Arabidopsis thaliana: one gene and its partners. The protein of the gene in region 1 purifies or fractionates together with the protein of each later gene. This does not show direct contact. Each region holds a gene or a part of one and is shown in the gene's direction. Other genes may lie near its edges. The genes, in order: SDH6, NIR1, LTA3 and TRA2.

Region 1 (3,710 bases):
ATGCGCCATCAAGTGTGTGAATATGTTTCTGTGGCAGTGCACCGCCACCCAGAAATCTCCATCTTTGTTTGTGCGGATGTTGTCTGGGAACCCATGTAATAGAGCTACCACTTCTGACGTTCCAGCTTTCTCCCCTTTCAACCAGTATTTCCGTAATCTGAACAACAACAACAAAAAATGACTTAGATTCTGTTCACAGTATTGGAGTTTGTTTCTAGCAGAATCATTGAAACGATATGGAAACAACATGCTAATCGTTCCATTTTAGCTTCAATCAGAAATGCTGATTGCAGAAGTTATGCCAAGTATATATACAGACAATGATGTGGAAGTCAGAGAGGAATTAAGATGAAGGACTCACCTTCCAATAGATCCTTCACAAAAGATGAAAAAGGAGCCGTCTTTGCCGAGGGATAATCCGTTAGGAAACTGGAGATTTCTCACGAGAGTGGTAGTCTCCTTTGTTTTTGGATTGTATTTCAACACCCTCCCACTGTCTTCCCCCGAGACAATCAAAAGCATAAATTTCCTACAAATAGCGCAATCAACATACTCAAACAAAAGTAGTAACTAGACATCGGAAGCTCATTGCAACTTCTTGTAGATCCTCAAAAGATAAACAGAATTCAACATTTAAGGCTCTGAAGTTATAGCCGCAGTCAAAATTTTCAATTTATGTGCCTATGACAGATCATTTCAATCAATATAACATGAGTTCCAAAAAGCAACACTTTATGCAAGCCACTGATCAGGAGAGTTAGTAAAGATCAAAACTTTAAAACCTTACATACCTTCGTTGGAAGAAAGAGCTGCTATCAGTAAAGTAAACATTGCCTTCATCATCAATGTCAAGATCATTGGTAAATCTCAAAGGCACACCATCAGCCTCGTTTGTAACAGAAGTTGCTAAACCTCCTTCCGGACCAACTTTCATTATCCCCAAATACGCATCTGCAATGTACAAATCCCCATTTTTCTTGTCGAATCGAAGACCTAAAGGCCGACCACAGATATCTTCATCCTTTAAGTAATCCAAAAGCGATGGCTTAGGATCACATAGCTCTGACCTAATAAAACATCAAAGTTGAGAACTTTACTGGAAACGAAATGGTCACAAAGACTCGATTGCAATCACAAGACTCACCGATTGTTCGAAGTATATGCGAAATCTGTCCAACGAGTGCCATTCCAAAAGAGAATTCGACCGTCGGCGACTCCGGTATAAGGACCACGACCTTGCGGATCGAAAGCAATGCTCTCGGGACCTTGAACCTCGTTAAGAAACCTGATCTCTGAATTCTGCAACAGATTCTGGCGGTCTCTCTCCTTTGGAAGTGACGATAACGGAGGCATGTCAATCTTGTAAGTTTTGAAATCCGGGAACTTGGAAATGGAGCTGTGACTGAAGGGATCGATAGCGCAATAGATGGCAAAGACGAGAAAGATCTTCGCGAGTATGCTCATGGCCATTTTCTTTGTACGAGGGATGATGATGATGATTTGAAGAAGAAAATGGTTGGGGAAGTTTTAAGGTAGAGAAGTAGAGAAGAAGTAGTTGCAGTAGAGTACACTTTTCTGGTTGAAAATTTAAAACTTTTCTCAATTGCTGCTCTTTTTCGATATATTAAGAAAAGTCAAGGAGCAATTGCAAATCGGCTAATCTGATGGCAACCCGGTATTAAATTAAAAAAAGAAACATGAAAACCGGGTGAACCGGATCGACCTTCCATTTTTTCGGTAGACCAGTTTTATTTATTCTGCAAATAATAATCGTCTTCAATCAGAGAAAAAGTTTGCAGTGAGAAGGAGATTGATTAATCGATCTGAGAAAGATGGGAGATTCGGAGTCATTTGTTGGGAAAAATTGGAATGGATTGAAGGATTTCTGGAGTGATAGGTTATCATTTTTCGAAAATTACACCAGATTCACCAAACGCGACGCGCCTCTTCCTTCTTGGTCTTCCTCCGACGTCGAGGAATTCATTGCCTCCGATCCCGTTCATGGACCCACCGTAATTTCCTTCTATCTTTCTCTCGCTCTGTGTTTTGGAATCTATAGATATTGTTGGTCCATTATCTATGACTCGGCTGGTACTCGATTTTACTCTGCTGTCATCGGTTTATTTTTTTCTTCTTCATTTGATTTTCCATTGGAAAGTTTCTGTTACTTTTTGATATAATAAAGTTCCACTAGGCTAGGTTTTTCTGGCTTTAGTCCTTGGAAGCACAGATACAAGAGGACTAAGCCCACTGCATCGTCGTCGGATGGCATAAAAAACCTAGCAAAAACTGAACTGTTGGTTTGGTATTTGGTATTCTTACTGAAGATCTTACGTTTGGTACTCATTGTGTATTTGTGGTCATCCTATCCAGCTGAAAACGGCTAGGGAAGCTGTGACGTTTGGTGTTACCGGAGCTGCACTTGGAGCTGTCTCTACTGCTGCTTTTGCCTGGAAATACTCCAGGAGTCCACATGGTAATGACATTTCTCTCTCTGTGAATAACTATTTGCTCTTTATAAACCTCACTTGTTTCTTCAAACGAAGACACAAAGCTTGCAATTCAGGGATAATGGGATTATTTGGGAGTCAATTAGACCTTTATGTCCTATATTGATAATACTTGGAAACTGGTTTGAAAGTTTATGCAGTTCTCATGGCGCTTACATTGTTTCTCAATACTAAATTGCTGTTTATTTTTCTTCCAACTTTTGACACCTCTAAACTACTGCTGGTGCGACAGGTGCTGCATTGTCCTTCTTAGGAGGAGGTGTTTTTGGTTGGACCTTTGGGCAAGAGGTCGCCAACCACACACTGCAACTCTACAAGTTGGACACAATGGCAGCCCAAGTTAAGTTCATGGAATGGTGGGAACGTAAGTCTCAATAAAGGTCCTGAATCTAAAACGAAGACGTGTGCTGCTTTCTCGTCCAGAGTATCTTCTTGGGAACAACATGAAATGCTGATTATCCATCCATTTCCAGACTTTCGCCTTTGAAACTTTTTCTATTCTCACTCTTGGAACATGTTTGCCTTGTCTTAATAATACAACATGCCTCATGAATGTTTTGAAGATTTGAGAAAATGAATTCAAAGAAACCAAATGGTCTCAAAAGAATCAGGGAATGACGACTACCCCAACTGAGCACATATCGAAACCTTTCCTTTGATGATTCATATTAGTAACTTTTCTTCATGTTGAGTTTGTTTTTTATGAAACTTACAAATTAACAACGAAGCATTTGCTTTCGTGTGTATTCGTACAAATATGATCAAGTAGAGGCCTGAAATTGTTCATGACTACTGTCGGTCTATTTTTTCATACAAATTGCTAACTACAACACAAATTGCCCTTCGGACTTGAAGAAACAAAATCCACTCCCATTGATCATATAAAGCAGATTTAAATAAGTAGCCTCTGAAGCAATATACCATACAAACCAGCCGAGAGATCCAGCAGGAAGGTGTTCCACTTATTTGAAAGAGTTGAAGAAGCTCACAGTGTCTGCCAGCGCAACGATGAAGGCGTCAACGTCATCCTTTGTGTTGTAAAAGTAGAGGCTGGCGCGTGCACTTGCATTCACTCCAAGATACCGGTGGAGTGGCTGTGCGCAGTGGTGTCCTGACCTTATTGCAACTCCGTGCTGCAACATACAATATTCGTTTTCAGTTTTCATCCCACTATGGATATTCTGATGAGAGAGTAAAGTA
Region 2 (4,988 bases), on another chromosome or scaffold:
TAGAGTAGGGATGTGTCGTGTGTGAAATATTTCAGGTTGTAGTTTTTGTTAGTTTGTCAAGTTGATTTATGGATATATTAATTCACGTGGTCAATTATTTACGTCGAAGATGTGATAGATATTTAGTAAGCCGGACTATAGGAACAGGAGTGTGGAAGCCACACGTGGAATAGCGGTGGAGAATAATTTGGATGGATGGCGGTTTAGGCCGAACCGGGGAAGGTTTTGTTTCTTAGACATCGTGAGAAGTCATACGTTATGTCCTTAAGATTTTAAAAGCTACAAGAGCCACTAGCTATTTTTCAATTCCAATATGATAAATTAATTCTTTGTAAGCTAAATTTTATTTTAATTTCTAAATAAATGTTAAATTTTGGATAATTAACCCTAAAGCCATAAACAATTCAGAAAAAAATAACAAAATTATAACAAGCCTATTCATTGAAATTCATATATGTACAAAAAAGCTATAAATGTTCATAGTATAAATGTTTTATGTACTATAATATGTATGGATATGCAAATTCATATAAACATAAAAAATAGCAGTGATTAATATGAGATATTTAGTTCATAATTTGAATGTTTATAGTATAAATTTTGTTAATTTTTTATATAATTAAAAATGACAATATATGAATTTTAATAACCAAACATAATGTTGTCACCTCGATGTATACTAAATTGCAGGAAGATGATACATATAAGTTGAAAACGATTGTGCGAATAATCTATAGAAAAGAAATATAAATTAGAAAAAAAAAGACAATGCTAACGTTTTGGTGTGGACAAGAAAGAAGACGTTGCGACTTGCGATGATGTTTGAACCTGCAGGTAGTTTGATTCATGTCTCTAGAATAACGCTAAAGAACACCTATGGCTCTGATAACATATTATTAATATTTACATTTATTTTATTTAAAGTAGTCCATTCATAATTGCACACGACTAAATGCTACACAACTTGTCTTAGTTGTTTAATCAAGATATTTTTACCTTATGATATTTTGTGAAAAATGATACCTATAAAATCCCTAATGAGCACATCAACCTTTTTTACCTTATTATATTTTGTGAAAAATGATATCTATAAAATCCCTAATGACCACATCAACCTTGAATCTTCTCTAATAAACCTTTTTTCCAAACACGCACTAAACCAAAAATTAACATCTCAAGAGGAAACCATTTAAAAAAAAAACAGAGTTAGATTAAGATCAACAAATATAGTTGAAAAGAACATATGTTAAGCAACATTACCATAAATTCATAATTAGTAGTGATTAAAACTTAAGAATACTAAAGTATGAATATGAAAATTGTTGTATTTTTTTGTAGTATGTAATATGCGGAAACTTGGATGTTATCCTATTCATTGAAATTCATATATGTATGTAGTTATCATTTTTTAAATATATTAAAAAATTAAAAAGTAATAATACTATAAACATTCAAATTATGAAATAAATATCTCATACTAATCACTGCTAATTTTTTTTCCAATGTTTCTCTTTAGTATTTCTCTTTAGTATGGGAGTGACAAACTTAATATGAAATCTATCTCCCTACATGCAAAAATCGAATCTCTTTTATTATTAATGAAGTGTATGGTCGGTGTCAATAACTAATATGTCATATTTTTTACAGACTGTTCAGATATGATAAAAATAGTTTTTTTCCAACCAAATGGTTGGTCTTCTGAGTGTATTTGAAAACGACATTGAAGAATTAATATATTTTTTTTTAATTTTAGTTTTTTATAGTACAAATATTAAAACAAACAATCCTACCATATCATAACATTTGTAAATAACATTTTAAGTTTTGTTTTGAGTTTTAATTAATTTTCTATGACAAAAAAATGAAGTCAATAGACTAAGTGAATCATATAGTATAAATAAACACAATTTAAATAGTTTCAAATAAATTTAGAAAGAATAAAACAAATAGAAATCAGAAGGTGTCTGTTTCCTCCTCGCAACATACGATCAAAGAGAAACAACTTGACCCTTTACATTGCTCAAGAGCTCATCTCTTCCCTCTACAAAAATGGCCGCACGTCTCCAACCTTCTCCCAACTCCTTCTTCCGCCATCATCATGACTTCTTTCTCTCTCACTTTCACATCTCCTCTCCTCCCTTCCTCCTCCACCAAACCCAAAAGATCCGTCCTTGTCGCCGCCGCTCAGACCACAGCTCCGGCCGAATCCACCGCCTCTGTTGACGCAGATCGTCTCGAGCCAAGAGTTGAGTTGAAAGATGGTTTTTTTATTCTCAAGGAGAAGTTTCGAAAAGGGATCAATCCTCAGGAGAAGGTTAAGATCGAGAGAGAGCCCATGAAGTTGTTTATGGAGAATGGTATTGAAGAGCTTGCTAAGAAATCTATGGAAGAGCTTGATAGTGAAAAGTCTTCTAAAGATGATATTGATGTTAGACTCAAGTGGCTTGGTCTCTTTCACCGTAGAAAGCATCAGTGTATGTTCCTCCTCTCTATCCTCTTCCATTGACTTGTGATTGAACTGTGTAAAGGTTTCGTCTTTAGTCTTATGTGTGCTTCTTTCAATGACTTGTGATTAAATTGGTGACCAGATTGTGTAAAGGTTTAGTCTTTACTCTTTATCTTTAGTACATTTTGATTTATGAGTGCTTGTTGTTGATTTTGTTGTTGTAGATGGGAAGTTTATGATGAGGTTGAAGTTACCAAATGGTGTGACTACAAGTGCACAGACTCGGTATTTAGCGAGTGTGATTAGGAAGTATGGTGAAGATGGGTGTGCTGATGTGACTACTAGACAGAATTGGCAGATCCGTGGTGTTGTGTTGCCTGATGTGCCTGAGATCTTGAAAGGTCTTGCTTCTGTTGGTTTAACGAGTCTTCAAAGTGGTATGGATAACGTGAGGAACCCGGTTGGGAATCCTATAGCTGGGATTGATCCGGAGGAGATTGTTGACACGAGGCCTTACACGAATCTCCTTTCGCAGTTTATCACCGCTAATTCACAAGGAAACCCCGATTTCACCAACTTGTGAGTTCTCTTTTTAGATTGATGTTGTGTGTTGGTGAGTGAATGGTTATGCTAAGATGGGTTTTTGTTTGTTTGTTGTAGGCCAAGAAAGTGGAATGTGTGTGTGGTGGGGACTCATGATCTCTATGAGCATCCACATATCAATGATTTGGCCTACATGCCTGCTAATAAAGATGGACGGTTTGGATTCAATTTGCTTGTGGGAGGATTCTTTAGTCCCAAAAGATGTGAAGAAGCGATTCCTCTTGATGCTTGGGTCCCTGCTGATGACGTTCTTCCACTCTGCAAAGCTGTTCTAGAGGCTTACAGAGATCTTGGAACTCGAGGAAACCGACAGAAGACAAGAATGATGTGGCTTATCGACGAACTTGTAAGTACATGCTTCTTGCAATCTTAAATTCGGTATTGAAGTTCTTGGTTGTTGATTTGTCTGCATGAAATGTATAGGGTGTTGAAGGATTTAGAACTGAGGTAGAGAAGAGAATGCCAAATGGGAAACTCGAGAGAGGATCTTCAGAGGATCTTGTGAACAAACAGTGGGAGAGGAGAGACTATTTCGGAGTCAACCCTCAGAAACAAGAAGGTCTTAGCTTCGTGGGGCTTCACGTTCCGGTTGGTAGGCTACAAGCTGATGACATGGATGAGCTTGCTCGGTTAGCTGATACCTACGGGTCAGGTGAGCTAAGACTCACAGTAGAGCAAAACATCATCATCCCAAATGTAGAAACCTCGAAAACCGAAGCTTTGCTTCAAGAGCCGTTTCTCAAGAACCGTTTCTCCCCTGAACCATCTATCCTAATGAAAGGCTTAGTTGCTTGTACCGGTAGCCAGTTCTGCGGACAAGCGATAATCGAGACTAAGCTAAGAGCTTTAAAAGTGACAGAAGAAGTAGAGAGACTTGTATCTGTGCCAAGACCGATAAGGATGCATTGGACAGGATGTCCCAACACTTGCGGACAAGTCCAAGTAGCAGATATCGGATTCATGGGATGCTTAACACGAGGCGAGGAAGGAAAGCCAGTCGAGGGTGCTGACGTGTACGTCGGGGGACGAATAGGAAGTGACTCGCATATCGGAGAGATCTATAAGAAAGGTGTTCGTGTCACGGAGTTGGTTCCATTGGTGGCTGAGATTCTGATCAAAGAATTTGGTGCTGTGCCTAGAGAAAGAGAAGAGAATGAAGATTGATTCAAAAGCTATTGGATTCTTAATAAGTCAAGAGACCTATGAATGGTTCTCTCTCTGGTTTCAGACTTTGATACTTGATACTTGTATTTGTATTGTGCCCATAATTTTGGGTTTTGTAGCTCTCTCCTTTGTTGTAACCTGTAACTTTGTCCTTGGTTGTTTTGTAATATCTTGTTTTTTAGTAATAGTAGTATAATCTGATTTTTTGTCATATATTGTCTTGATTTCTCTGTGATATTTATAAGAAATAAACATTTGTTTCTTTTTACCTCCAATATTTTTGTTTTTGATATATCAAAAGTTAAGGGAATAGATTTTAATTAATAAAATATATTGATAATATTCTTAAAAGATTATTAATAAATTAAATTGTTTTTTTTTTAACGTCAATTTCATTAATTTTTAAGAAAGAGTACATGGTAAATAAAGCCCAACAACACAATTATAAAGTCCAACTACAAACCCAATAGAAAGATTACAACTTGAGATTAAACTAGGTTTAGAAGGGACACGTGTTTAATTATCTGTTCTTGCGCATGTTGGATGAGAAAAGATGCCGATATGACTCATCACCGCCATCTTGAGTTGAACCGTCGATCGAAATTACCTAGTCCGTCGTTGAAATTTGAACCATCATAATTATTAAACTCTGGAACACGCGACATAGCAAGAGGGCAGATCAGTTGCAAAACACACTCTCCTGAACTGTTCTACGCCGGCCACCAAAGCTCCACTCAACACAATTCACGATCTTAAAGAGGCACCTTCATCGTTA
Region 3 (7,647 bases), on another chromosome or scaffold:
ATACTAGTTACAAATAAAGTATAAAAGGAATTAAACTTTTATATAGATAATTAACACAAACAAAATATTAGAGACGATTTCAAATAAATTATGAGGATATAGATGAGAAAAATACTATATAGAATAACAATAGTAAGAAATTAAAAATAAATAAATCAATTTGTACATATAAATTAGAAAGAAAAATATAGATAAATAATTAAACAATATTAATAGTATCACATAGGTCAATTAAAATTTTATATACAATAGTTAAAGAGTATTATATCTCAAAACTAAGTTTTGATACTGCGTAGAACAAATCATGTTTCAAGCAAAAATGATCAAATTCCTATGATGCTGGAAATGCTTGACGATCCACATGAGACTGGCTATGTGCATGTATGGAGAAAAACGTGTTGTTCGACAACGCGTGCATGCCTTCTTCCACCTAAGTGACGACGCATCACAAAAAGTTATCTAGTAGTGTTAATAGTTCATGTTCCATCTGCCGAAATTACACACAATATAACGTATTCGATTATTTGTTATCCAACAACTTAAACGATTCGACCAACTCACTCAACCTTTTGTCACTAGTTCCAGTCATATATTTCTTATAAATACTCGTTCACTACATCTGTACAGATCGAAAGAATCTCTTGATATATTACAACACACCCATAATTCATAAAGACTAGCTCATATACCTTTGATATATGAGATTTGATCTATATGTCGTTCTCCTTAACTAGATATCGCTAATTGGGCTTGCATTCAACAAGCAACATATATCGCTTATTACATTCGACGATACTCAGCTTCTACATCTTAAGTCTCTCTTTTTTTCTGAGCTCACCATCAAGTATAAGAACACAATTCTACCTCTTATTTGTCTACTCCCAATTTTTTGTTTTTGGTTTTTCACTATTCTGACATCTTATCGTATTATGATTAACGTTAAGAATGTCGTCTCGAAAATCACCTACCTAGCTATTGTTTCAAGATTCGACTCCCATGCGCGTCCCATCAAGAACAAACCATCCAGAAGCATCAACCTCCAACTATTAGAGAATAATGTCCCATTCGCCCCTCGCTGGTCAAATCGCTTCCATTTGATTCACATAAGTCCAACAACAACGATGATCTCTGGTGTACTACTACCAAAACTCAACCTTGAGACAGATTCTCAAAATACTATATGTTCTATTAACTATTTTAACTTGAATCAAGTTGATAATTGTAGAGAGAAATTTTTTGTTCACTTCTTATTAATTTGTAAAACATTTATTTTAAAACCCATTACCGTTAAGCTTTGATACAATGATACATGTTATTTTCTGATTAAAAATGGTTATAAACTTGAACGGTATAAGACTTTAGTGTATAGAGAACAATTTAGAGAATCTGTATTTATGTAACCGCGACCTTTCGGAAACGTAGAAGGTGGTCGCACAAACAAACCAATCAAACCCTTAATCGATGGCACTCTTTTAATGTCTAATAAACTTCGGTTCGTCACTCGACCGGACAATTAAATATGTGATTAAAAGTGTGAATTTCCGGTTCGGTAGAGATTACTGGTATTTGTTAATCCGGGCCGGACCGGGCCGTATCTGAATTATGAACACTTTCCTAATGTCATAGAATCGTTCGTGCCGTCGTCGCTGCGATCTGACCAAAATCAAAAGTGTTACGATTCGGTATCATCGTCTCTCTCATTTGTGATTTTGTCAAACCCTGCTCTCTTTTCTCCAAGTGCTCTCATGGTGCTTCCGCTCTTCCGGCGCGCTGCGATCGCCCGGACTTCCTCGCTTCTCAGAGCTCGTCTTTTCGCTCCTGCCTCCGAATTCCATTCTCGGTACGCTTATTCTCTCTATCTAGTCCCGCCTCTTTCAAAGTATTTTGATGTTGCTCTTCTTCCATGTGTGATCCTTTGCAATTCGATGACTGAACTGTTTCTTAGTTCGATTTCATTTTCCTTTTCCGCAATCATCCATTGACTTTTTTTGGAGTTCTTATTACGTATTGTATAGTGATGTTTAAGAATGCCAAATTTGGTTTTGTTGGAACAATTGAACTATCCATTTTTTCTTATCGAACTGGTAGTACGGGTTTATCTTCTCTAGTTTGTGAGATGTAATTTCCATTTTACGTCACTCGCAGTGAAGAACAAGTGTGTCCTTAAACTGGTGTGATCTCTTTACCTTTCCAATACATTTGACAATGAACTTTCTTATTCAGCTTTTCTAATGGACTATACCACTTGGACGACAAAATTAGTAGCAGTAATGGTGTGAGGTATGTGTTCCATATCACAAATTGAGGACAAGATTTATTTTTATAGAAAAAGTCAGTGTGATCGTAGGCATTCAAAGTTTAAGGTTATAATTTAGTTCGTTTCGTATGTGTTAGATTGTTAGTCTAGTTTGAGATTTTGTCTGTTCTACATTTTCAGGTCTGCCTCTATAGACTTGATTACAAGAATGGATGATAGTTCTCCAAAGCCCATTGTAAGTGAACAGCTAGTACTGTTTCTTTTCTTTTTTCACTTTCATCTATCCGTGTTTCTCACATACATTGTTTTCTTGTAGCTGCGATTTGGCGTGCAAAACTTTTCATCTACAGGTATTCATTGATTGTTATGTCATCTTATGGAATAATGATCTTCATAAATGAGTCAACCAAGCAATTCCATTATAGAATTACTAAACGAGTTGATTATGGGACTTTCATCTGATTTGAGCAACCTGTCGGCAATTGTTAAATTGTTTTAGCCATAAGACTTACCAACACAGATGTTAAGTGGGTGATAAGAATAATTAATGGAAACTTTCGCTTAACTTGTAGAAAAATAGAAATGTTAATTGATGCAGGTGCAAAAACTTCCATATCACTCTTTTCTCTGATGTTTGTGCTTCCATCATACCTTAGATACAGCGACAGGAGATGCAATCAATTATACAAGATTCTTCCATTAAATTATTATTTTCTTTGGGTTGTAGGACCCATATCACAGACGGTTCTTGCAATGCCAGCCTTGTCTCCTACTATGGTAGGAAATTTGACTTCAATCTTGTAAAGAATTTTGGCCTCCTCCAAGACATTTGGACTTCAATCATTGTTTTATGTTTGTTGGGCTTTTGCAGAGTCATGGAAATGTTGTAAAATGGATGAAGAAAGAAGGTGACAAGGTGGGTTATTTCTTATTTTTGGTTGACAAAATTTCAGTCGACTTTTATGATTTTGTCTACTAATGATCATTATACAAGAAAGACGATAAATTGATAATTTAGCTGGCAAAGAAAATATAGAATGTGGAAATTCTCAGTAACAGGTATGAATTTGGTTCTTCCTGACAGGTAGAGGTGGGTGATGTACTATGTGAGATAGAGACAGACAAAGCCACTGTAGAATTTGAGAGTCAAGAGGAAGGGTAATTTTGAAAAAGACGGTTCATGATTTTATGTTTTGATTTGTATTTTTATTTCATTATACCTTGGTAATTCAAATATCTGACTCCCTATAAGTATATGAAAATGTCAATTGGCTTACTATGAAGCATGGTTCTGCAGATTTCTGGCCAAGATTTTAGTCACTGAAGGATCAAAGGATATCCCTGTTAATGAACCGATTGCAATAATGGTAAGCACAGTGGCTGTCTTATACATTTATAGAAACCAAGTATGATCTCACAAAAGGTGATGCATGCATCAACATACGCTTATTAGGAGTTCCTGTTTGTTTATCTAGTCTGCTCTTGGCCTCTTTCACTTTCTTTCGTTTCCTGGGTTTACATTCTGGAAGACTTGACAAATCATAGAGATGTATGGTATTTCGTTGTCAATATTTATTGTGGAAAAATGTCCAAGATCCAATCTCATGCTCTCTTCTTCTAAATATTTCCGTTTGCCATACTGAGTTGTCATGTTATGTCCCCAAACATGATATATCGTAGGGTTTAGGGTGTAGCGTATATTGGTTACAGTTTTGGTCAACATCTTGCTACATAAGGTTGATGGATAAGAGTTTAATCTTATCTATTTAATTGTAACCAAGGTTGAGGAGGAAGACGACATTAAAAACGTTCCTGCTACCATAGAGGGTGGACGAGATGGTAAAGAGGAAACATCAGCTCATCAAGTGATGAAACCTGACGAAAGCACACAACAAAAAAGTTCCATTCAGCCCGATGCATCAGATCTTCCCCCACATGTCGTCTTAGAAATGCCAGCACTTTCTCCTACAATGGTATGAAATTTCATATTTTATGCTAGCTTTTTTTGGAGGAGAAGGCATTCAGCTTTCTATCCTAAGACTCTGAATTATTTGTTTATTGATGTGCAGAACCAAGGTAATATTGCCAAATGGTGGAAAAAAGAGGGTGACAAGGTTAGTTTCTGGTGACCCGATGAGTAAATTGGCATTGTAATTTCACCACAAGAAATCTGATGTTTATGCACTTGCCTGTGTTGATTCTTCTCATTTCATGAAACAGATTGAAGTGGGTGATGTCATAGGTGAGATCGAGACTGACAAAGCCACTCTGGAATTTGAAAGCCTTGAAGAGGGGTATAACTAACATCTTGTCGTCTTATTTCTTTTTCTAGGCAGTATGTTGATGTTCATTCTATATAGCATTCACTATCTGTGGATATTGCTTCTTTTCTTGTTTGGTTAAGTGAGAAGTAAATGTTAATTGCAAAAAGTAAGGTCTCTCCAAGTGTTCCCCCTTGAACTGATAGTGATTTAAAAGGTTGATTTCATGTTTCGTAGTTTTCATATGAGTATGGGCTTCCTCTACAAAAACTGATTTCCTGGATCAAATGAGTGAAGTTATATAATAGATTCTATAACTTGATGGATGACTTTTGTGTAGGTACTTAGCTAAGATTCTAATTCCTGAAGGTTCCAAGGATGTGGCGGTGGGAAAGCCGATTGCCCTAATAGTAAGTCTTTTAGTTCAAAAGTACATTGACTGAATTCTTTATGCCAGAAAACTGTATTACGACTGGTATATTTAATCCATTTGTTTTACTAGCCTGTGTGTAATGCATTTTGTGCATAAATTGGTCGACACTCTTCTAGTTCCATGCTACGTTATATATTGCCTGAAGTAAAAGTTATGCCTGCACAAAAAATCTTTGAAAATACAATTGCTTGCAGATTGGGGGATATAATAAGCTAATCGTTCTTCTCTGTAGGTTGAAGATGCTGAAAGTATTGAAGCCATCAAGTCTTCTTCCGCAGGTAGTTCTGAGGTTGATACAGTTAAAGAAGTCCCTGACAGTGTTGTAGATAAACCTACAGAGAGGAAAGCAGGCTTCACAAAGATCAGTCCTGCTGCAAAGCTATTGATTTTAGAACATGGATTGGAGGCATCATCAATTGAGGCATCGGGTCCCTATGGTACATTATTGAAATCAGACGTTGTGGCCGCAATTGCTTCTGGAAAAGCTTCTAAATCATCTGCGTCTACGAAGAAGAAGCAACCATCAAAGGAGACCCCGTCTAAATCCTCCTCCACATCGAAGCCTTCTGTGACACAGTCAGATAATAATTATGAAGATTTTCCAAATAGTCAAATTCGCAAGGTAAATTAACATATTTATTACTCTCTATGTAGAATGATGAAATATGTCCTGCTGCATTCTGTTTTACTTTCCCCACTTGGCAGATTATAGCAAAACGTTTATTGGAATCAAAACAGAAGATACCCCATTTGTATTTACAATCAGGTTGGTGACTCACAACCTTTGTATTTTCTTTGTGTATTTTATTTGCTGTTTAAGCATTTTATTTTGCCTGCAGATGTTGTATTGGATCCTCTTCTTGCATTTAGAAAAGAACTTCAAGGTTTGTAGACTGCTCTTATCACACATCCTGGTATTTATTAACAACTTGAGAGGCTCAGAGTGAACTGTACTTTCATGATCTACAGAAAACCATGGCGTTAAAGTGTCTGTCAATGACATAGTTATTAAAGCAGTGGCAGTCGCACTGAGGAATGTACGACAAGCTAATGGTGAGAAATTATTTTCTCCTCGTAAATGATTTCATTAAAAATAACTAAACTATGGTTTGTTCCCATCCCTAACTATGCGCTAGATTAAAACCTTAGTTCATCCTCTTTAAGGAAACTCGGCTTCCATGTTGGATTATTCTTGCAATGCCGTTTACCTCCGTTGAGAGTATTTAGTAAAGATGTTTTGAGATTGTAATACTGTAACATTCAATATGACTGGTAATGCATTTTAGACTCGGTTTTAGTCGTTACAAGTAGGACATTTTTTGGTGTGAGTTTGATGTAATGATTTGTGGATTGGAATCGTGTGGTTGTTTTTTCTCTTCTGCTTTCTCAAACCTTTCTTATGGTTGCTTAAAGTTCTCTTTCTCAATGTCTGGCAGCTTTCTGGGATGCTGAGAAAGGAGATATCGTTATGTGTGACAGTGTTGACATATCAATTGCAGTTGCAACTGAGAAGGTACACTTGTGTGTTTGATTTTCTGATCATTTCAACAGTTTATCCCTCATCATCTTGGCATTTTTTGCAGGGCTTAATGACTCCAATTATCAAGAATGCAGACCAGAAATCTATTTCTGCTATTTCCTTAGAGGTAATTTTATTCTCTCTGAAGTTAAACGAATATGGAAGGCTATAGAGGCACATATGTTTGATCAGTTCTTACCATATTCCATGTGTTGTTGATCGCTATAGTTATGAATTTTAATATGTCAAATGATTTTTGGATCAGGTTAAGGAGCTGGCACAAAAGGCTCGATCTGGAAAGCTTGCTCCTCATGAGTTTCAAGGAGGGACATTCAGGTATTCATCATTTTTAAGTTATTAAGCATAGTACGGAATTATCAATCATGTGTAACTTTTCCTACTTAACGAGAAAACCATACTTTATCGTTTTGCAGCATATCAAATCTAGGAATGTATCCTGTGGATAATTTCTGCGCAATCATTAACCCCCCTCAGGTAATCATAGCCTTAACGATGCACCCTGAATCACAGATTGAAGATTAAGTTTTGCTGTTTGTAATTTGTGGTGTAGAGGATTTAGTTTAATATTTATAGAGATGCAGATGTGTTTTTTTGGATAATAAACTTCAGGACTATCAATTGTCTTGCAGGCTGGGATTCTAGCAGTTGGTAGAGGAAACAAAGTGGTTGAGCCAGTTATTGGACTAGATGGTGAGCTAGTAGAATCCTTTTGGGTTTTCAACTAGGGTTGCTATTCTGATCATGGTATGACAAGTTTTCGTCATTGTTTCAGGAATTGAGAAGCCTTCTGTTGTGACAAAAATGAATGTAACGTTATCCGCTGATCATCGGATCTTTGATGGACAAGTTGGAGGTAATGGAACATTCATAAATCCCTTCGTTTCGAGTTTTATGTTATGCTGCTGCCATATTTCACTGTGTTTCTCCTTTGTTACTCATTGCTTTTTCTATGAAACCGGCTTTGTTTCAGCTTCGTTTATGTCTGAATTGCGTTCAAACTTTGAGGATGTTCGAAGACTTCTTCTGTGAGAAAGATCCAACTGTTTACCAAATGAATCTTGGATTACTACATAATAAACCTCGGACCAACCCACGTGCACATCCAGAACCAGAACTGCTGGTCTACATTGTTAACTCTGATCACATGTTTCATTTT
Region 4 (4,784 bases), on another chromosome or scaffold:
ATGAGATAGGTTTTGGTTCAGAAGTCCCAGCCACAGTCGAAGCTGTCAAAACGCCTAACTCAAAGATTGTCTATGATGACCATAACCATGAGCGTTACCCACCTGGTGACCCTAGCAAGCGTGCATTCGCCTATTTTGTCTTGTCGGGTGGGAGGTTTGTTTATGCCTCTGTCCTCCGCCTGCTTGTTTTGAAGCTTATTGTGAGCATGTCTGCAAGTAAAGATGTCCTTGCCCTTGCATCCCTTGAGGTTGACCTAGGGAGCATAGAACCAGGAACTACCGTGACAGTCAAGTGGCGTGGAAAGCCCGTCTTCATCAGGCGAAGAACAGAAGATGACATCAAGCTGGCCAATAGTGTGGATGTTGGATCCCTGAGGGACCCACAAGAAGACTCGGTTAGGGTCAAGAATCCAGAATGGTTAGTGGTTGTTGGAGTGTGCACTCATTTGGGGTGCATCCCCTTGCCTAATGCTGGTGATTATGGTGGTTGGTTTTGTCCGTGTCACGGATCACATTACGATATATCTGGAAGAATTAGGAAAGGTCCTGCACCATACAACCTGGAAGTACCAACCTACAGCTTCCTGGAAGAGAATAAGTTACTCATCGGTTGATTAATAAAAGCACAACAGTCAAGAGTCTGGATCTGAATGATGATCTTCACTTGTTCTTTTTTTCTTTTAATTAATATTTTCCGGCATGTTAGAGCAAGATTGACTTGTTTTTGCTGAATAATACAAACTTGTGATTTTTGTTTGAAGTATACTCAATCTTCGTTTATCCATCGCTAGTAAAAGACGACTATGTTCATAGTCTGTGTTTATTATTTAACATGCCTATTTGTCCTATGTATGAGTGAGATTCCTTTCGTATCTCATAATTCTAAACATCGTCATTCCAATTAAAAAGTTGTATTTACATTTGAGTTTCGATAGTATCTCAACGTTCATAAAAGAAAAACTAAAGGTATGAGAAAAACCAACGTAGAAACAAACAACAAAAGGTAATATATCAGCTTTGATTGATAGTTTACAGGAAGATAACCGAATAAGTTCAAACTGTATTCGTAAGACATCCCGTGAATGAATATTCAATCATCCAAAAGTGGCATAGCTAGATTTTTTCTAGATTGGCTAAGAACACAAAAACATAATATTTTATTCTGTTTAATCTTTTTTAGTTAAGAAAAAATGTTTGACACACAAAAGCCAAAGTTTGATTTGGGTAAAAACCATTGTGGGAGATGAAAATGTTAAAATCTTGTTTGTTTTGGTCACCAACAACGGCCATGAACTATATGGGAAGTGACTTATCTCTTGTAAGTTGTTTTCCTTTTGGGATATGGGAAGTGACTTCTCCGACCCTTGCAAACTAACAACGGCCATTACACACTAATTACAAGCCAAAGGTCCTCACTAAGCAACCTCTCGTGTTTATCATAAGACACCGCTCTATCTCTTATTATTTTATTCATTGTTTTCTAATTTCAGACTGATTAATCATACATTAGAGAAAGTTTATTAAAACCATCTGATGTAAAAAATCACATTTATCTAAATTAAATAAATTTGTTATCTAGTATATAACTATTTATTGTTTTAACATTTGGATAAATTGTAAGAAATTAGAATGTAAAATAAGACAGAAAATGGTCAACTATGAGCATCTATCGCCATCATGATATAGTTTCGTCGTTTGCGTTCCCGACCTAACTCAAAACTTCACCAACCCCATTTTTAAGCCCCTTTCTTTGTTTTTATCCTCCGATCGATCAAACCAAGAAAAAACACTTTCGTATTTCCCTCGACGAAAAAAATGGCAACCATTTCGAATCTCGCTAATCTTCCCCGCGCCACCTGCGTCGACTCCAAATCTTCTTCCTCTTCCTCCGTCTTACCTAGATCCTTCGTCAATTTCCGCGCTTTGAATGCAAAGCTTTCCTCTTCTCAGCTTTCTCTTCGTTATAACCAACGATCAATACCTTCCCTCTCGTAAGTCTTTATATCCATTTGATGCATGTCTTTTGTCTCTGTTTCTCGCTCTTGGGGTTCACCAAAAATTGAATCTTTTTAGCTGGAAACGTACCACGAATCTCAAAGTAACATTTTTTATAAGATGGATTAGGAAAAGCAACTGTATTTCCCCTTTTTGGTTGGTAAAAGTCTGATTTTTTTGTTTAATTTGCAGTGTGAGGTGTTCAGTGTCTGGTGGAAATGGAACTGCTGGAAAGAGAACGACTCTTCATGATCTATATGAGAAGGAAGGTCAGAGTCCTTGGTATGATAATCTTTGCCGTCCAGTCACAGATCTTCTCCCGTTGATTGCTCGTGGTGTTAGAGGTGTTACTAGCAACCCTGCGGTAATTTTATCATCTCTCTTTGTGTGTTTGGTTTTGCTTTTGCTCTGTGTTTGTTCATTTGTCTTTACTTCTTCACTTTTTATACATTTGCAGATCTTCCAAAAAGCCATTTCCACTTCAAATGCTTATAATGATCAATTCAGGTATCTTTTTGTGATTGTCTTAGACTTGTGGTTGTTAACAACATGCTATTAAAACTTTAGAGTTCTTCTTTATATGAAAAGTTGTCTGATATGTTAATGGTATACCTGACATGCACTATTAGGACACTTGTGGAATCGGGAAAGGACATTGAAAGTGCGTATTGGGAACTTGTGGTGAAGGATATTCAGGATGCCTGCAAACTTTTTGAGCCAATCTATGACCAGACAGAAGGTGCGGATGGCTATGTCTCTGTTGAAGTTTCACCTAGGCTTGCTGATGATACCCAAGGAACTGTTGAAGCTGCTAAATATCTTAGCAAGGTTGTCAACCGTCGTAATGTCTACATTAAGATTCCTGCTACTGCTCCATGCATTCCTTCCATCAGGGATGTCATTGCAGCTGGAATAAGTGTCAATGTCACGGTAAGTTATCCTAGTATGTTTCATTATTCAAGTTTCTTATTGCAAGTTTTAAAGAACTTCAAAATAAAATAAGTCATAATACTTCAAATTCATGTATTGTGTGATGATGTGCTAGATCACTGGATTTCTTGGGCGTTTTAAACCTGAAACTAGATTAGTTCAAGGGTGTTCCAAGGATGCACTGATGTTACCTTTTCTAAATCGTTTCTCATATGTTCTGTTCTGTTTCAGCTTATATTCTCAATCGCCAGATATGAAGCAGTGATCGATGCATATTTGGATGGCCTCGAGGCGTCTGGACTTGATGACCTCTCAAGAGTTACCAGTGTTGCTTCCTTCTTTGTCAGTCGGGTGGATACTCTCATGGACAAGATGCTTGAGCAAATTGGTACCCCTGAAGCCTTAGATCTCCGTGGGAAGGTAAAGCTCTATTCATCGCTGAGATCTTACACCAGCCACTGTGAGTAGAGTATTAGCTTATGACACATGATATGTTTACTCTTGCAGGCGGCTGTGGCTCAAGCTGCATTAGCATACAAGCTATACCAGCAGAAATTCTCTGGCCCAAGATGGGAAGCTCTGGTAAAGAAAGGTGCCAAGAAACAGAGACTTCTCTGGGCATCAACAAGTGTAAAGAACCCAGCTTACTCTGACACCTTATATGTCGCTCCTCTCATCGGACCTGACACTGTAAGTCATCTTTTTGTTTGTGTTGAAGTCAATAGGCTGTATTAACGCTTTGGAAGTATATTCATAGTTTTTGTGGGTGTGATTTAGGTATCAACCATGCCGGATCAAGCCCTGGAAGCATTCGCAGATCATGGAATAGTGAAGAGGACAATAGATGCGAATGTGTCAGAAGCAGAAGGGATTTACAGTGCACTAGAGAAGCTGGGAATAGACTGGAACAAAGTAGGAGAACAGTTGGAAGACGAAGGAGTAGATTCCTTCAAGAAGAGTTTCGAGAGTCTGCTCGGTACACTGCAAGACAAGGCCAACACTCTCAAACTAGCCAGCCATTGAGGAAATGAGTCATCATTATGTTTTTGGTTACGCTAAAATAAAAAGAAGAACCTTTGGCTTTTGTTCTTCAATCCTTATGCATGCTTTCTAAAGTGGTTATGATGGATTTTGCTTGATGTTCCACATTATGGGTTATTCTATTTTCTTTGTTCTTGTAAGATGATGCTTCAGAAGAGTTTGTTACTTTTTACCGTATTTGTAATTTACATTTTCACTGAAAACAATTGGCGAGTAAAAAAGTGTCCTTGTCTTCTTCTTTGTTCGGATTATATGAACAATTGTTCCTAGAAGCCTCTCTACATAAAAAGCTGAGACTTTATCTCTCATCTCTCTTTAGACGTACAAAAAAATCAGTTTTTTAAGTTTCACTCTAATGGCGTCAATTTCGTCCTTTGGCTGCTTCCCTCAATCCACAGCGCTCGCCGGAACTTCCTCCACCACCGTACGACGCCGCACCATCTCTCTGTTTCTTCTTCTTCTTCCTTTTTATTCACTGAATCTCTCATTTTGATTCTCAGAGATGCCGGACGACTGTGGCTGCTCGATTAGCTGACCAATCAGATGACTTCGCTCCTCTTCGTTCTTCTGGTTGGCTTGCTTCTACAGTTTTACTTTTCTGTTTCCTCCTCAACAGTGAATTGAATTATAACTTCAGTTTTGAAAACAGGTGGGAATTGTGGATGTGTTAATAATTCTGGAGAGTTTGATCGCAGAAAGTTGTTGGTTTCTTCTGTTGGTTTGTTGATTGGAGCATTGTCATACGATTCTAAAGATGGAGACTTTGCATCAGCTTCTCAATTTGCTGACAGTAAGAATTTTCAATTTCTTTTTGGAGG

Evidence for each region.
Region 2: the proteins of SDH6 (region 1) and NIR1 purify together in Arabidopsis thaliana (affinity purification with mass spectrometry, with the first as the bait; one large-scale study listed by BioGRID). This does not show direct contact.
Region 3: the proteins of SDH6 (region 1) and LTA3 purify together in Arabidopsis thaliana (affinity purification with mass spectrometry, with the first as the bait; one large-scale study listed by BioGRID). This does not show direct contact.
Region 4: the proteins of SDH6 (region 1) and TRA2 purify together in Arabidopsis thaliana (affinity purification with mass spectrometry, with the first as the bait; one large-scale study listed by BioGRID). This does not show direct contact.

The regions. Positions count from the first base shown.
Region 1 is NC_003070.9:2,682,508-2,686,217, forward strand, and holds SDH6 (succinate dehydrogenase subunit), read left to right. Parts: upstream 1-1,668; 5' UTR 1,669-1,832; coding exon 1,833-2,012; intron 2,013-2,373; coding exon 2,374-2,476; intron 2,477-2,742; coding exon 2,743-2,888; 3' UTR 2,889-3,195; downstream 3,196-3,710. Other genes in the region: SSL3 (strictosidine synthase-like 3), read right to left, coding at 1-157, 362-529, 792-1,067, 1,145-1,470; CPNIFS (chloroplastic NIFS-like cysteine desulfurase), read right to left, coding at 3,473-3,643.
Region 2 is NC_003071.7:6,808,454-6,813,441, forward strand, and holds NIR1 (nitrite reductase 1), read left to right. Parts: upstream 1-1,941; 5' UTR 1,942-2,098; coding exon 2,099-2,474; intron 2,475-2,670; coding exon 2,671-3,025; intron 3,026-3,106; coding exon 3,107-3,395; intron 3,396-3,472; coding exon 3,473-4,213; 3' UTR 4,214-4,488; downstream 4,489-4,988. UniProt on the Arabidopsis thaliana protein: Catalyzes the six-electron reduction of nitrite to ammonium.
Region 3 is NC_003074.8:19,358,572-19,366,218, forward strand, and holds the start of LTA3 (Dihydrolipoamide acetyltransferase, long form protein), read left to right. Parts: upstream 1-1,634; 5' UTR 1,635-1,745; coding exon 1,746-1,840; intron 1,841-2,223; coding exon 2,224-2,280; intron 2,281-2,437; coding exon 2,438-2,492; intron 2,493-2,573; coding exon 2,574-2,607; intron 2,608-2,756; coding exon 2,757-3,034; intron 3,035-3,128; coding exon 3,129-3,173; intron 3,174-3,341; coding exon 3,342-3,415; intron 3,416-3,554; coding exon 3,555-3,624; intron 3,625-4,038; coding exon 4,039-4,230; intron 4,231-4,326; coding exon 4,327-4,371; intron 4,372-4,477; coding exon 4,478-4,551; intron 4,552-4,858; coding exon 4,859-4,928; intron 4,929-5,183; coding exon 5,184-5,573; intron 5,574-5,656; coding exon 5,657-5,717; intron 5,718-5,790; coding exon 5,791-5,835; intron 5,836-5,920; coding exon 5,921-6,004; intron 6,005-6,387; coding exon 6,388-6,464; intron 6,465-6,534; coding exon 6,535-6,597; intron 6,598-6,735; coding exon 6,736-6,806; intron 6,807-6,904; and 8 more.
Region 4 is NC_003076.8:4,301,244-4,306,027, reverse strand, and holds TRA2 (Aldolase-type TIM barrel family protein), read left to right. Parts: upstream 1-1,712; 5' UTR 1,713-1,815; coding exon 1,816-1,991; intron 1,992-2,187; coding exon 2,188-2,359; intron 2,360-2,452; coding exon 2,453-2,502; intron 2,503-2,624; coding exon 2,625-2,925; intron 2,926-3,156; coding exon 3,157-3,345; intron 3,346-3,432; coding exon 3,433-3,615; intron 3,616-3,702; coding exon 3,703-3,948; 3' UTR 3,949-4,236; downstream 4,237-4,784. Other genes in the region: AT5G13430 (Ubiquinol-cytochrome C reductase iron-sulfur subunit), read left to right, coding at 1-614; AT5G13410 (FKBP-like peptidyl-prolyl cis-trans isomerase family protein), read left to right, coding at 4,322-4,390, 4,467-4,536, 4,616-4,756.